Linked DNA regions of Tribolium castaneum. The protein of the gene in region 1 binds, or shares a complex with, the protein of each later gene. Links are inferred from orthologs where the notes say so. Each region holds a gene or a part of one and is shown in the gene's direction. Other genes may lie near its edges. The genes, in order: Prp38, zinc finger matrin-type protein 2 and Mfap1.

Region 1 (3,219 bases):
ATATAATGTAATGGCTGATTGCAATACTGTTACTCTATTTTGTTAATTAAATTATTTTGTACGACCTCTCATTTTGTTATTAATAAATACTCAAAAGTGAAATTCGTTTAGTTTTATTTTATCACGGGTGGAAGCGGCTTTTCTGCGAGCGAAAATATTGCAGTCATGCCATTATTCCCCCCGATTTTTCTTGTTAGGAAGTTCGGCCTAAATCTTGTTATATTTAGATAGTGCCAACTGTCTTGTACAGCATTTTGGTCATTAGGTGATTCATGTAACCACATCTAAACATCATTCTCATGTGGAACAATAACATGCGTGTGACATTTTATGTTCAGTGTATTTCTTGTGCTTCTTTTGGTTTTGTTGCTTATGTCCGACTGATTAGAAACAAAATTCTAGCATAGTTGAGTGTAAAACTTTGTGATCCAATGGACTGAAATCTTAGGATGTGTTGGATTCGTCATGTATACAAAAATTTGCAAATATTTTAACGAATTTAATATTTTTAAGGGATAAATTGTAAATAGTTAAAATTTTATTTGATAAGTATTTATTATTTTGTTATTAATATACGATATATACGAAAACTGCAATTCTGGAAACTTGTACCTAAACAAAAATGAGAAAAACGAGTGTGTTAGGAGCATTATTTTATATTGTATTACAAACGTATATTATAAATAAAAAACTTAAATCATTGGAAATAAATATTCACGCCCACTTTTTAAGTTAGTTGGAATGTTTATCGGGCTTAAACAATCTAAAAAAATATAAAAACAAAAAATTCTTCGAAAAATAACTTATGTATATAGTCCACACGTTTGCTGCCTGTGTTTCACTGTTATTGTTATTGTATTCACTCATTCTGTTATTGTCTGTTTTCCACAATACAAACATTGCAAGACTTTCTACAGCAGTTGATTTTCAATTTTACTCCACTTCGAGGTGGTGAACGTGTTAAGTAATAAGTAAATAGACACTAAATTTATAATATACTTCTCAACAAACATAAAATAGACAAATAAAGCTAATGCCTAACTGTCTCAATGTCATCAATAAAGTTTTTAAAACGATCGCAAGTGTTTGAATCACCCAATCCCCCAAAAAGCAATTTTACATCTTTAACAATACCATCGATACGCTCATTTGGATGCGTTAATAATTTTCTACTTGCATAAATACTATTTATTAAATTATGAGCGTTTGTTCATGTTTAAATTAGAATGGTGTCTGGTGGTAATAACCAAAGTTACCAAAGGTTGGCACTTTTTGTGGGATTCCCACCCGCGAGTCACGCCTGGGGACTAGACGATATTAGCAAATAAGTTTTTATGAGAAATTCGGGAAACGTGAAACTTGTTTATTATTGAAGAACTAAATTGTTTCATACGTGTACTATTGTTTAATTTTGTAATGTATAACCTTAGCCTGTATTTCCTAATTGGATTATTCACACAGTATTATTTGTCTGTAATTTTTTTCACAATGCAAAGCAAAAAGTCTGATAAGAGCGAACCATTTTTAACCTCACTTTGTGTTTACTACAAGCGTCAACAATTTCTTAGAATTTATTGATAAACTGTGCATTTCTGTCGAATTCAGTTGTGCATAAGGTGCGTTAGTGAGTTTACAAATTAAATTAGGCCAATTATGGCAAATAGGACCGTAAAAGATGCCAAATCAATCCATGGCACAAATCCCCAGTATCTGGTTGAAAAGATCATCAGATCGCGAATTTATGACTCTAAATACTGGAAGGAGGAATGTTTTGCCCTCACTGCAGAGCTTTTAGTAGACAAGGCAATGGAATTACGATTTGTGGGTGGTGTTTATGGTGGCAATATAAAGCCAACACCATTTTTATGTTTGACACTAAAAATGCTACAAATTCAACCAGAGAAAGACATTGTAGTTGAATTCATCAAAAACGAGGAGTTTAAATACGTCAGAGCCCTCGGTGCTTTCTACATGAGACTCACAGGGTCGTCCTTAGACTGTTACAAATATCTTGAGCCTTTGTACAACGACAACAGGAAGTTGCGGCGACAAAATCGCCAAGCGCAGTTTGAAATTGTACACATGGACGAGTTTATTGACGAATTGTTACGAGAGGAACGAGTACGTGTTTTTTTTGTTACGGTAGATAGTAAAATTAATTTTTAAGGTTTGTGATGTTATTTTGCCACGCATTCAAAAACGCATTGTTTTGGAAGAAAGCAACGAACTCGAAGCCAAGATCTCGGCCCTTGAAGACGACTTGGACGAAGAGATTGAACTTGAGGAAGAAAACAAGTACGAGTTGGTTGAAGAAAAGCCCAAAGAGAAGAAAGAAAGGGAGAGGAAGCGGGAACGCAGCAGATCCAGAGAAAGGCATCGCAGTCGGAGTAAGGAACGCCACAAGAAGGAGAAGGACAAGGAGAGGGACCGCGACCGGGAGAAGGAGCGCGATAGGGAGAGAAGAGACAGGGAGAAGGAGCGCAAGGACCGGGAGAAAGACCGCGAAAAAGAGCGAGATCGTAAGGATAAAGACAGGAAACGGGAGCGAGACAGACACCACTGATTTTTCAATACATCGTTTTATACAATCAATAATTAAATACATCAACAAGTTTAGGATTGTGAATATCACAGATTAAGCCTATACCTTAGATTTCCACAAAATTTACATATTTATAATATATACAAATCAAATGGCTCAAAAAGTGGGCGCATTGAGATGAAACAACTTCTCCTCCCTTTTCTTAATCCAGTTCAGCAGCCGCCCCACTGAGTTAATCGCACTGTTTGTGTCAATCAAGGGCTCGAAAACTACATAAAGCTCAAAACCTCTCGTATCCCACGCCAAAATCGCCTCGTCTGAGTTTTTCTCAAATAACAACTTTAGCGGCCTCGTCGAGCAATGCAACAAGTTATGCGCCCGTTTGTACAACTTTGTTAGTCTCTCGTTATATTTGGTGTACGGTGGGGTCAAGCTTGGTTGGTAGAACTGTGCTGTACTTTTGCATTTGTACAAATAGTGCCTAAGTTCGGGGAAACCCGCAACAATGCAAGTTTCTTCTTTCGCACTCAGCGACTCATTGATTGCTTCTAAGCAGTTGCTGCGTCGCAGTTTTTCCACTATGCGTTGTTTCGCCTCACTTAGGGCAAAAAATACGTCCCTTTCCACCGTCAGGAGGAGCAAACACGCTTGACAGTCTTCAGCCAAGTAGGACACAT
Region 2 (3,012 bases), on another chromosome or scaffold:
TTTTAAAAAACGTATGTTCTCTAACCTACACGGACAAATAAATTATTAACTATTGCGCGCTACTGATGCTGACGTTGAGTACATAAAATATGTGACCGCAAATATGCGACATCACTTTTGCCCTACCTTTTATTTCGTTTAACTGAATAATGTAAGGTTTACTTAACTTTTGAAATTTTGAAAAATTATTTCGAACAAAATTTTTTTTTTAAATCGTTACATTTTTAAAGTAGTTAATGATGTACTAATTAGTATTTTTTGTAAGGTACATAGTTTACGCACAAAACGCTTGATTTAATACTTTTGCTCAACGCTGCATGTAATATTGTATCAAATAGATTTTGATTACAATCTTTATAGTTTCGCCATAATCGGCTTTTTAAAATTGATATTTTTTTTAATATCACCTTAATCACTAAATATCACCTTGTTCCACTAAAATTTTTTGCAACTTTGCATTTTGCATAAATTGCAAATTTTAAAGTTAATGTCTTCCACCAATCTTTGCATTTGTTTTGGCATATTTTTGTAAAAAGAAGTATTTTTGCTAAGTATATTTTTTGCTAAGTGTGCAAAATACTGTTGTTGGTGGAACATAAAGGTGTTCGGGAACGTGCAAGCGCAAAGTGTAAAAGTCGTTTGTGGAATAGAGCCCACATCAGAATTTTCTGATAATGTAATAATAATAATATTACTCAAAAGTTGGCAACAATCGTATAATTCTATGTTAGCAGTTACGGTTTTAAATATTGAAAGAATTTTATCATATAATAGAAAATACACCTTGAACTTTATTTTAAAAAATTGGTTTATAATGTTTCACAGCAATTAATACTTGACCACATTCAAAATATCAAATGGTAGCGTAATTAATTGTCTAGACTAAGAGCGCCGGTTTACAAAACATTTTAATTGCAATTAAATTTTAATCGCGGTTAACTCGACATTTGTCAATGTATTTAATGCTACTTAATTTGAATTAGTTTAATTTTGAATTAAATTCAATTTGATTTTTTGTAATTTAAATTAATTTAATTTATTTGTACTCGACTAGAATATTAATTTTTGCTTCGACCATAAAACTTGGAACACTCTGTATAATTAGTTGCGTAGGCTGCCATTTGAATATTGTGTTGCCTACCCAAAATAATAATTTGTTAAAAATTTAAATTTTTTGAGTTATCCACTTTTTCTTTGGTATTTATAACTTATAACTAACTCATAACGTAGTGGTAGTTTGAACAGCCACAGACTGAAAAATTGCAAACGAAAGATTCTGTGAATTAGATTTTAAAAATTAATAAAAAAATTGAAATAAATAACTAATTGTCTTGATTACGGGATTTTTTTGATCTTTTCCCATCTTAAATTTTTAAACAGGTAACCCAGCTAACTTCGTTAGATGTAATAGCAGAGTCGAATAACCAAAAAATTAAAAAATCTATTAAGTATTCTATGAGTTTAATGAATTCAATTGTAATAATCTAATGATATATATAAACATCCTGAATGGCGCAAATTCGCAATTTATTAGAAAATGAACCTTTATTCTTATGAAGTTAGCAACATAACCTAACCTTGAAAATTTGACAGCTGTCAATGTGTACTGCAGTTTGTCAACACTGTTATTGTACTTGAGTTTTTATTAATTGATTGTGATCCTGCTAAAGAAAAATCATCAGAAATGACTATGCGACCAGACGACCACCGCCGAAAATGGGACAGGGACGAATACGAGAGGTTAGCCGAGGAGCGCAAGAGGGAAGAAATCGAGCGCCTCGAAGAAGAAACCAAGAAAAAGAAAGGCCCCCCGGTGAAACGTGAAATGCTAAAAACCCGAGAGTATAAAGTAGACCTGGATTCAAAGCTTGGCAAAAGCATTGTAATAAACAAAAACACACCAACATCACAATCGGGGGGCTACTACTGCAACGTCTGCGACTGTGTTGTTAAAGATTCAATCAACTTTTTGGATCACATCAATGGCAAAAAGCATCAACGAAACTTGGGAATGTCGATGCGGATCGAACGCAGCAGTCTGGACGCAGTTAAACGAAGGTTTGACCAAAACAAGCGGAAAATGGAGGAGAAGAAAAAAGATTACGATATGGCAGCTCGCATGCAGGAAATTGCCGAAGAAGAGGAAAAGCTACGCGAATACAGGAGGGAGAAAAGGAAAGAGAAGCGAAAAGCTGAGGAAATGTTGGAAGAAACATCTGAACAAGCAAGTGAGCTTGCTAGCATTATGGGATTTGCAGGTTTTGGATCGTCTAAAAAAAAGTAGCAAAATGTCTTTCAATACCTTTATTACAATAATTTAGATTTGTTGAAGTTTAAATAAAAATCAATATTATGCTAACTAGTAAGTGAAGTACAGTTGGAAGAATCATTGTGTCAGCCTGTAAAAAATAATTGTAAATGAAATAAATGTGAAGGAACAAGTTGCCTTATTTTCTTTTTTCATATATTCCTCAGGCATTGGGTCCTTGACTTTGGGCGTCTCCTTCACATTGTCACAGCTTATTGTGAGAATACTGTCAATTATCGACTGTAGAAGTTCTTTAGTTGTTGCTGCAGCGCTGTTTCCACACACTTTCGCAGTTTTGATGTAATAACAGTCAGCTATGTCTTTGTAAGCCCTGAAAACAATTAAATATTTGATCAAAGAAGCCCATGATGTTAAATAAGTTTCGTAACACTCAAAGGTAACATGTAAGTACTATTAAATTCAAATGTTAATTATATTTTATTAAGTTGCCGTTGCACCAAACTTGATTGCATATTTTCAACTTTTTAGCTCCAAAACTTGTTGAAGGCTTGAAAAAAGTAAAAACAATATTTTTGGCTAATTTGGCGATTTTTTCAAAGTTCGTAACGAACTTTTCGATGTAATCGCGTTAAAACGCAGTGGCGTGTGGTGTGAAAATATCTTTATTTTTTGTAAAAATGAATTTTACTAAATTCCATATCGACCACTTACAAATAAACCAATGAAATGTCTTTGACTTGACG
Region 3 (4,257 bases), on another chromosome or scaffold:
CGAGTTTATGGGAAATGACGTCAACTGCGTTTTCACAATTTTTGCATAGCGGTGTCAGTTAACGAGTAATAAAACCCAGTTGATTCCCTGTAGTGTCCTCCTTGTTTTGTTTTTATAAATTGGCAAATAAATACAATTAATGACCCAGATATCGCTCAGCAAACACCAGCAGAAAACCTGATTCTGAGCGATCTCCGATAATACATTTAAATGAATTCCATCCGCGTCTCTAATAACCGGTAGACCTTTGACACGTCGTCTCCGGACCCGAAAAAATCGCCGGAAAACTCCGGGAAAGAAAAGGGGGGCATTCCGGGTGTCGTTGACCCATTCCCATCACATCCATCTCGACGTCATCGTCTGCAGGCCGAAAGATAAATAACACTTTGGTAGCCCCATAGACAGTGATTCTTGGTATACTTTGCATAATAGCATCGCAGCATGCCCTGCCTAAACGTCAGACTCCACACAGACTTCTTGATCGTGCTGACATACAAGAAACAAGAATTTGCCGCGCCTATTTTGCTGTTTTTATCCGCACTTGACAATAACAATCCCGGCATTGGCTTCAATTACGCAAATTATAGCCCATTTATTCGATTTTTCAGCGGTTTTTCAAATGGACACTCGCTTCAACTCGCTGCCATCGAGGCCAGCCAAGACCAGCCAACTCGAAAATGCTTTACCAAAACGGTAAACCAGACGCTGGTTACCGGTGGATGGTTTATAACCGAAAATACGGTTTCAAAGACGGTTCTTTCCATCACACTTACCACTTGGTACAAGTTGTGTTGCCGTTTGTAATCCAATTATTGTAACTCATAAAATGCACACAACACAGAAAATACACCCGCAACCACTCTATTTGTTCATAATGTTGGAATATTTTGGCACAATCGCGTAAAAATTATAATAACACAGCTTCGCCGCGTCTTCTTCCACGCTTGCGTTTCGTAGATTTAACTTGATTCAGCATCAACAGGTGGTATTGCCAACCCAACGGCAACAGCTAATTTGCATTTCGGTTTCTTACGTTGGTGGCCCTCGACTTTTTTTACCCACAGGTTTAAACAATCCAAATAACTTTCGAATGAAACGTATAAACAAAAAAAAACGTTTACTCTTTATTACCAATTTAAACAATAAAAGTCACAATTTTTTGTAATTTGTTTGATAAAAGGAACACATTTTCTACACGTATCATTTAGAAAGAAACACGATATAGTTTTAACATATAAAAACCAATAGATAATACAATATAATAAAATTCTAAGTTGCAAAATCCATAGATTCTGTATTAATTATTGCGATTATTATAAAAAATATATTGGTTTGATTATTATACAACCAAAATTACACCTTATTTATTTATGTTTGCAATCAAGTCTCTGCGCTGAGTTTAAATCAGTTACGAACAAAATTTTTTTTTGGTTCATTTATCAAAAAAATTCTCGAACCGGTTGATTTTATTTTTATAATTCATTGATTATTTTTCAATTCTATGCTTGTCACTTGTCAACCTGTGTTGTCAACTGTCAAATGTAAAGTTGTGGCACAAAAACAATTTTCGTTTATTTTAGAATTAAAAACGACTTTCAATAGTCGATTTTCACAATGATGAACCCCCAGCCCTATTATGGCATCCAGAGTACTGCGGGTGCGGTTCCCGTTCGCAACGAAAAAGGTAAAATATCTTTCTTACCTATGACGGCTATAACCTCATTGTCAAAAATTAATAAAAAAATTGTAACAAATAAAAATGCCTTCTGAGCCGTTTCCGCCTATTTCCAGGCGAAATTTCGATGCAAAAGGTGAAGGTGCACCGCTACGTGTCTGGAAAGAAGCCCGATTATGCCCAAGACGCGCGTTCGAGCAGCGACAGCGACGACGACGATTTCCTGGAGCGTCGCAATCAGCCCCAACAGCCCCCAACGCCGGAGCCTTCACGCAGCGATGACGAACTGAATGACCCCCGTTTGCGTCGTCTGAAAATCGCAGAAGTTGAAACTGAAGTGAGGCCAGAACGCCGCCGTCACGTTGTGGAGCCAGAAGTGTTGGAATCGTCTGATGAAGAATCCGAAAAGGAACAAATTAATTTACCCGAACATAAACACACACTGGAGGCGGCTCCTGACGATGATGAGTCCGAAGTGGAGCTTAGCGATAGCGAAATCGAGAAACGCAGAGAAATGATGAAAAAACGCATGATGGAAAAGCAGGAAGAGGAGTTTATGGTGAAAGAAGAAGAAAAGTCGGAGTCGTCGGAAGAATCGTCAGAGTATGAAGAGTACACAGATTCGGAGGAGGAGACTGGCCCCAGATTAAAACCGATTTTTGTAAGAAAGAAAGACAGGATCACGATCATAGAAAAAGAAAAGGAGGTACAGAAGCAGAAGCAGCAAGAATTGGAAGCTGTGAGAAATGCGGAAGAAAGGCGGCGACAAACGCTACGTCTTGTTGAGGAAACAATCAGGAAGGAACAGCAACAGAAAGATAAAGAAAATAACGAACCCAACCTTAACGACGTTTGCACAGACGATGAAAACGACGAAATTGAATACGAAGCTTGGAAACTAAGGGAGTTGAAGCGAATCAAAAGAGATCGCGAAGAACGCGAAGCTATTGAAAAAGAGCGACTTGAAGTCGAACGATTGAGGAACATGACGGAAGAAGAGAGAAGGCTTGAGCTGAGACTAAACCCCAAACAAGTCACAAACAAAGCCATCAAGGGGAAGTACAAATTCTTGCAGAAATATTACCACCGTGGTGCGTTCTATCTTGATAAGGAGGACGAGGTTTTCAAGAGAGATTTCGCACAAGCAACTCTGGAAGATCACTTCGATAAAACTATTTTGCCGAAAGTTATGCAAGTCAAAAATTTCGGACGGTCTGGACGAACGAAGTACACACATTTGGTGGATCAAGACACAACTCATTTCGATTCACCTTGGTCAAGTGAAACCTCGCAAAATCTCAAATTTCACTCGACACAAGCAGGGGGCGTCAAGCAAGTCTTTGAAAAACCCTCGTTGAAAAAAAGGAAAACGCAGTAGTAAGGTGTAATAACCACTAGACTTAGATGCAAAAAATATATATTTTTATTCATCAATTAAAGAACAATGTAATAGGGAAATCACACTTTCATACAAGCTTCAAGCAATATACAAAGTAAATTAACATCATCATAAAGTATAGACTAAAGTTCGCAACAGTTTTTAAATTAAACAGTTTTATGTTAACCAGTCAGTTTTAAAATGCGGTTGAGTGGTTAACTTGAAACAGTTTTAATTTGAAAACGAATTATTTTTGGAACCACCTAATGACAAATTAAAGGTTGGCTGTAATTTAAAAATTCTCCTACTTAATTATCAGCGTGAGTTAAATTCACCATTTTTGTGATAGGTATCAAAGCGAATGAATTTAACTGACGGTATATAGTTGAACAATGGAAAACAGCATTTTTCAAACAATCCTAGCGAGTAACTGAATCAATATAAGCGCATTGTGACTTCGTGCGTTAATTACAACTTTAAAGCACGAAGAGCAATTTTGGCAGCGGCCCTTTTAGCCAAGATTTTGTTCGTTCCAAACCCATGAACTCGTTTCTTTCTACCTTCACACATAAAGTCTAAAGAAACCATAGTCTTTTGATTACCAACTTCCAACGCTTTACTGTGAAAGAAAAAATAAATCAAGGCTCAAACGCAACACAACTTACCTAAATTGCGGAGGGTAAACAGTATGGCACTCGTACAATCTCCTGATGACATTTTTTGGCACATTCTTGCTAAAAAGATCAATTTCGCGCCAGATAATCTTGTAAAACACCCTCCAAACAGTCTTCAAATCCTTATTGCTATCTAGATAAATTGCGCCAGCAAGGGCTTCGAAAATATCACCCAAAACTTTAGGCACATCGACGTACTCGGCGATATTCATCTCATCCTCCTCCAACAAAATCAGAACTTCATCGTCGATCACGTAATTTTTTGAAGCAAGGTAATCGGCAAACTTGTCAATATGACCTTGCAAATTCGAATTCATCATGAGCAAAAACTTGTGAAACCCGCATCGGACAACAAGGCTTGCGAACGTGTTATTGTTGACAAGGGATGACCGCAAATCGGTCACTTGACCCGGCTCCAAATGCCCACAATGTTCGAAAATATAACACGTGATGAGGAAATCAAGCACAGCATCACCAAGAAACTCCAACCGTTCGTAGCTCAGTGTTATGCGATTCGGCGAATAGGAAGA

The links.
Region 2: Prp38 (region 1) and zinc finger matrin-type protein 2 share a complex: the UniProt entries of both Homo sapiens proteins name them as parts of the spliceosome B complex. The link is inferred for Tribolium castaneum from reciprocal best matches to the Homo sapiens genes PRPF38A and ZMAT2.
Region 3: the proteins of Prp38 (region 1) and Mfap1 are in contact, whole or in part, in a crystal structure (PDB 5F5S), measured with the Homo sapiens proteins. The link is inferred for Tribolium castaneum from reciprocal best matches to the Homo sapiens genes PRPF38A and MFAP1. Residues at the interface, in NP_116253.2 of Homo sapiens: Tyr124, Asn125, Tyr127, Lys129, His143, Asp145, Glu146, Asp149, His153, Tyr169, Val170, Glu172; in NP_005917.2 of Homo sapiens: Glu275, Tyr276, Trp279, Arg282, Glu283, Arg286, Arg289, Asp290, Arg294, Leu297, Glu298, Lys301.

What each region holds. Positions count from the first base shown.
Region 1 is NC_087396.1:19,988,104-19,991,322, reverse strand, and holds Prp38 (pre-mRNA-splicing factor 38), read left to right. Parts: upstream 1-1,487; 5' UTR 1,488-1,653; coding exon 1,654-2,121; intron 2,122-2,167; coding exon 2,168-2,563; 3' UTR 2,564-2,616; downstream 2,617-3,219. Other genes in the region: vacuolar fusion protein MON1 homolog, read right to left, coding at 2,699-3,219. UniProt on the Homo sapiens protein: Involved in pre-mRNA splicing as a component of the spliceosome.
Region 2 is NC_087395.1:20,716,797-20,719,808, forward strand, and holds zinc finger matrin-type protein 2, read left to right. Parts: upstream 1-1,567; 5' UTR 1,568-1,684; coding exon 1,685-2,284; 3' UTR 2,285-2,333; coding exon of another isoform or gene 2,334-2,399; 3' UTR 2,400-2,441; downstream 2,442-3,012. Other genes in the region: uncharacterized protein LOC656218, read right to left, coding at 2,334-2,399, 2,447-2,639. UniProt on the Homo sapiens protein: Involved in pre-mRNA splicing as a component of the spliceosome.
Region 3 is NC_087397.1:4,122,304-4,126,560, forward strand, and holds Mfap1 (microfibrillar-associated protein 1), read left to right. Parts: upstream 1-1,495; 5' UTR 1,496-1,614; coding exon 1,615-1,684; intron 1,685-1,791; coding exon 1,792-3,053; 3' UTR 3,054-3,521; downstream 3,522-4,257. Other genes in the region: Dcr-2 (Dicer-2), read right to left, coding at 3,522-3,672, 3,719-4,257. UniProt on the Homo sapiens protein: Involved in pre-mRNA splicing as a component of the spliceosome.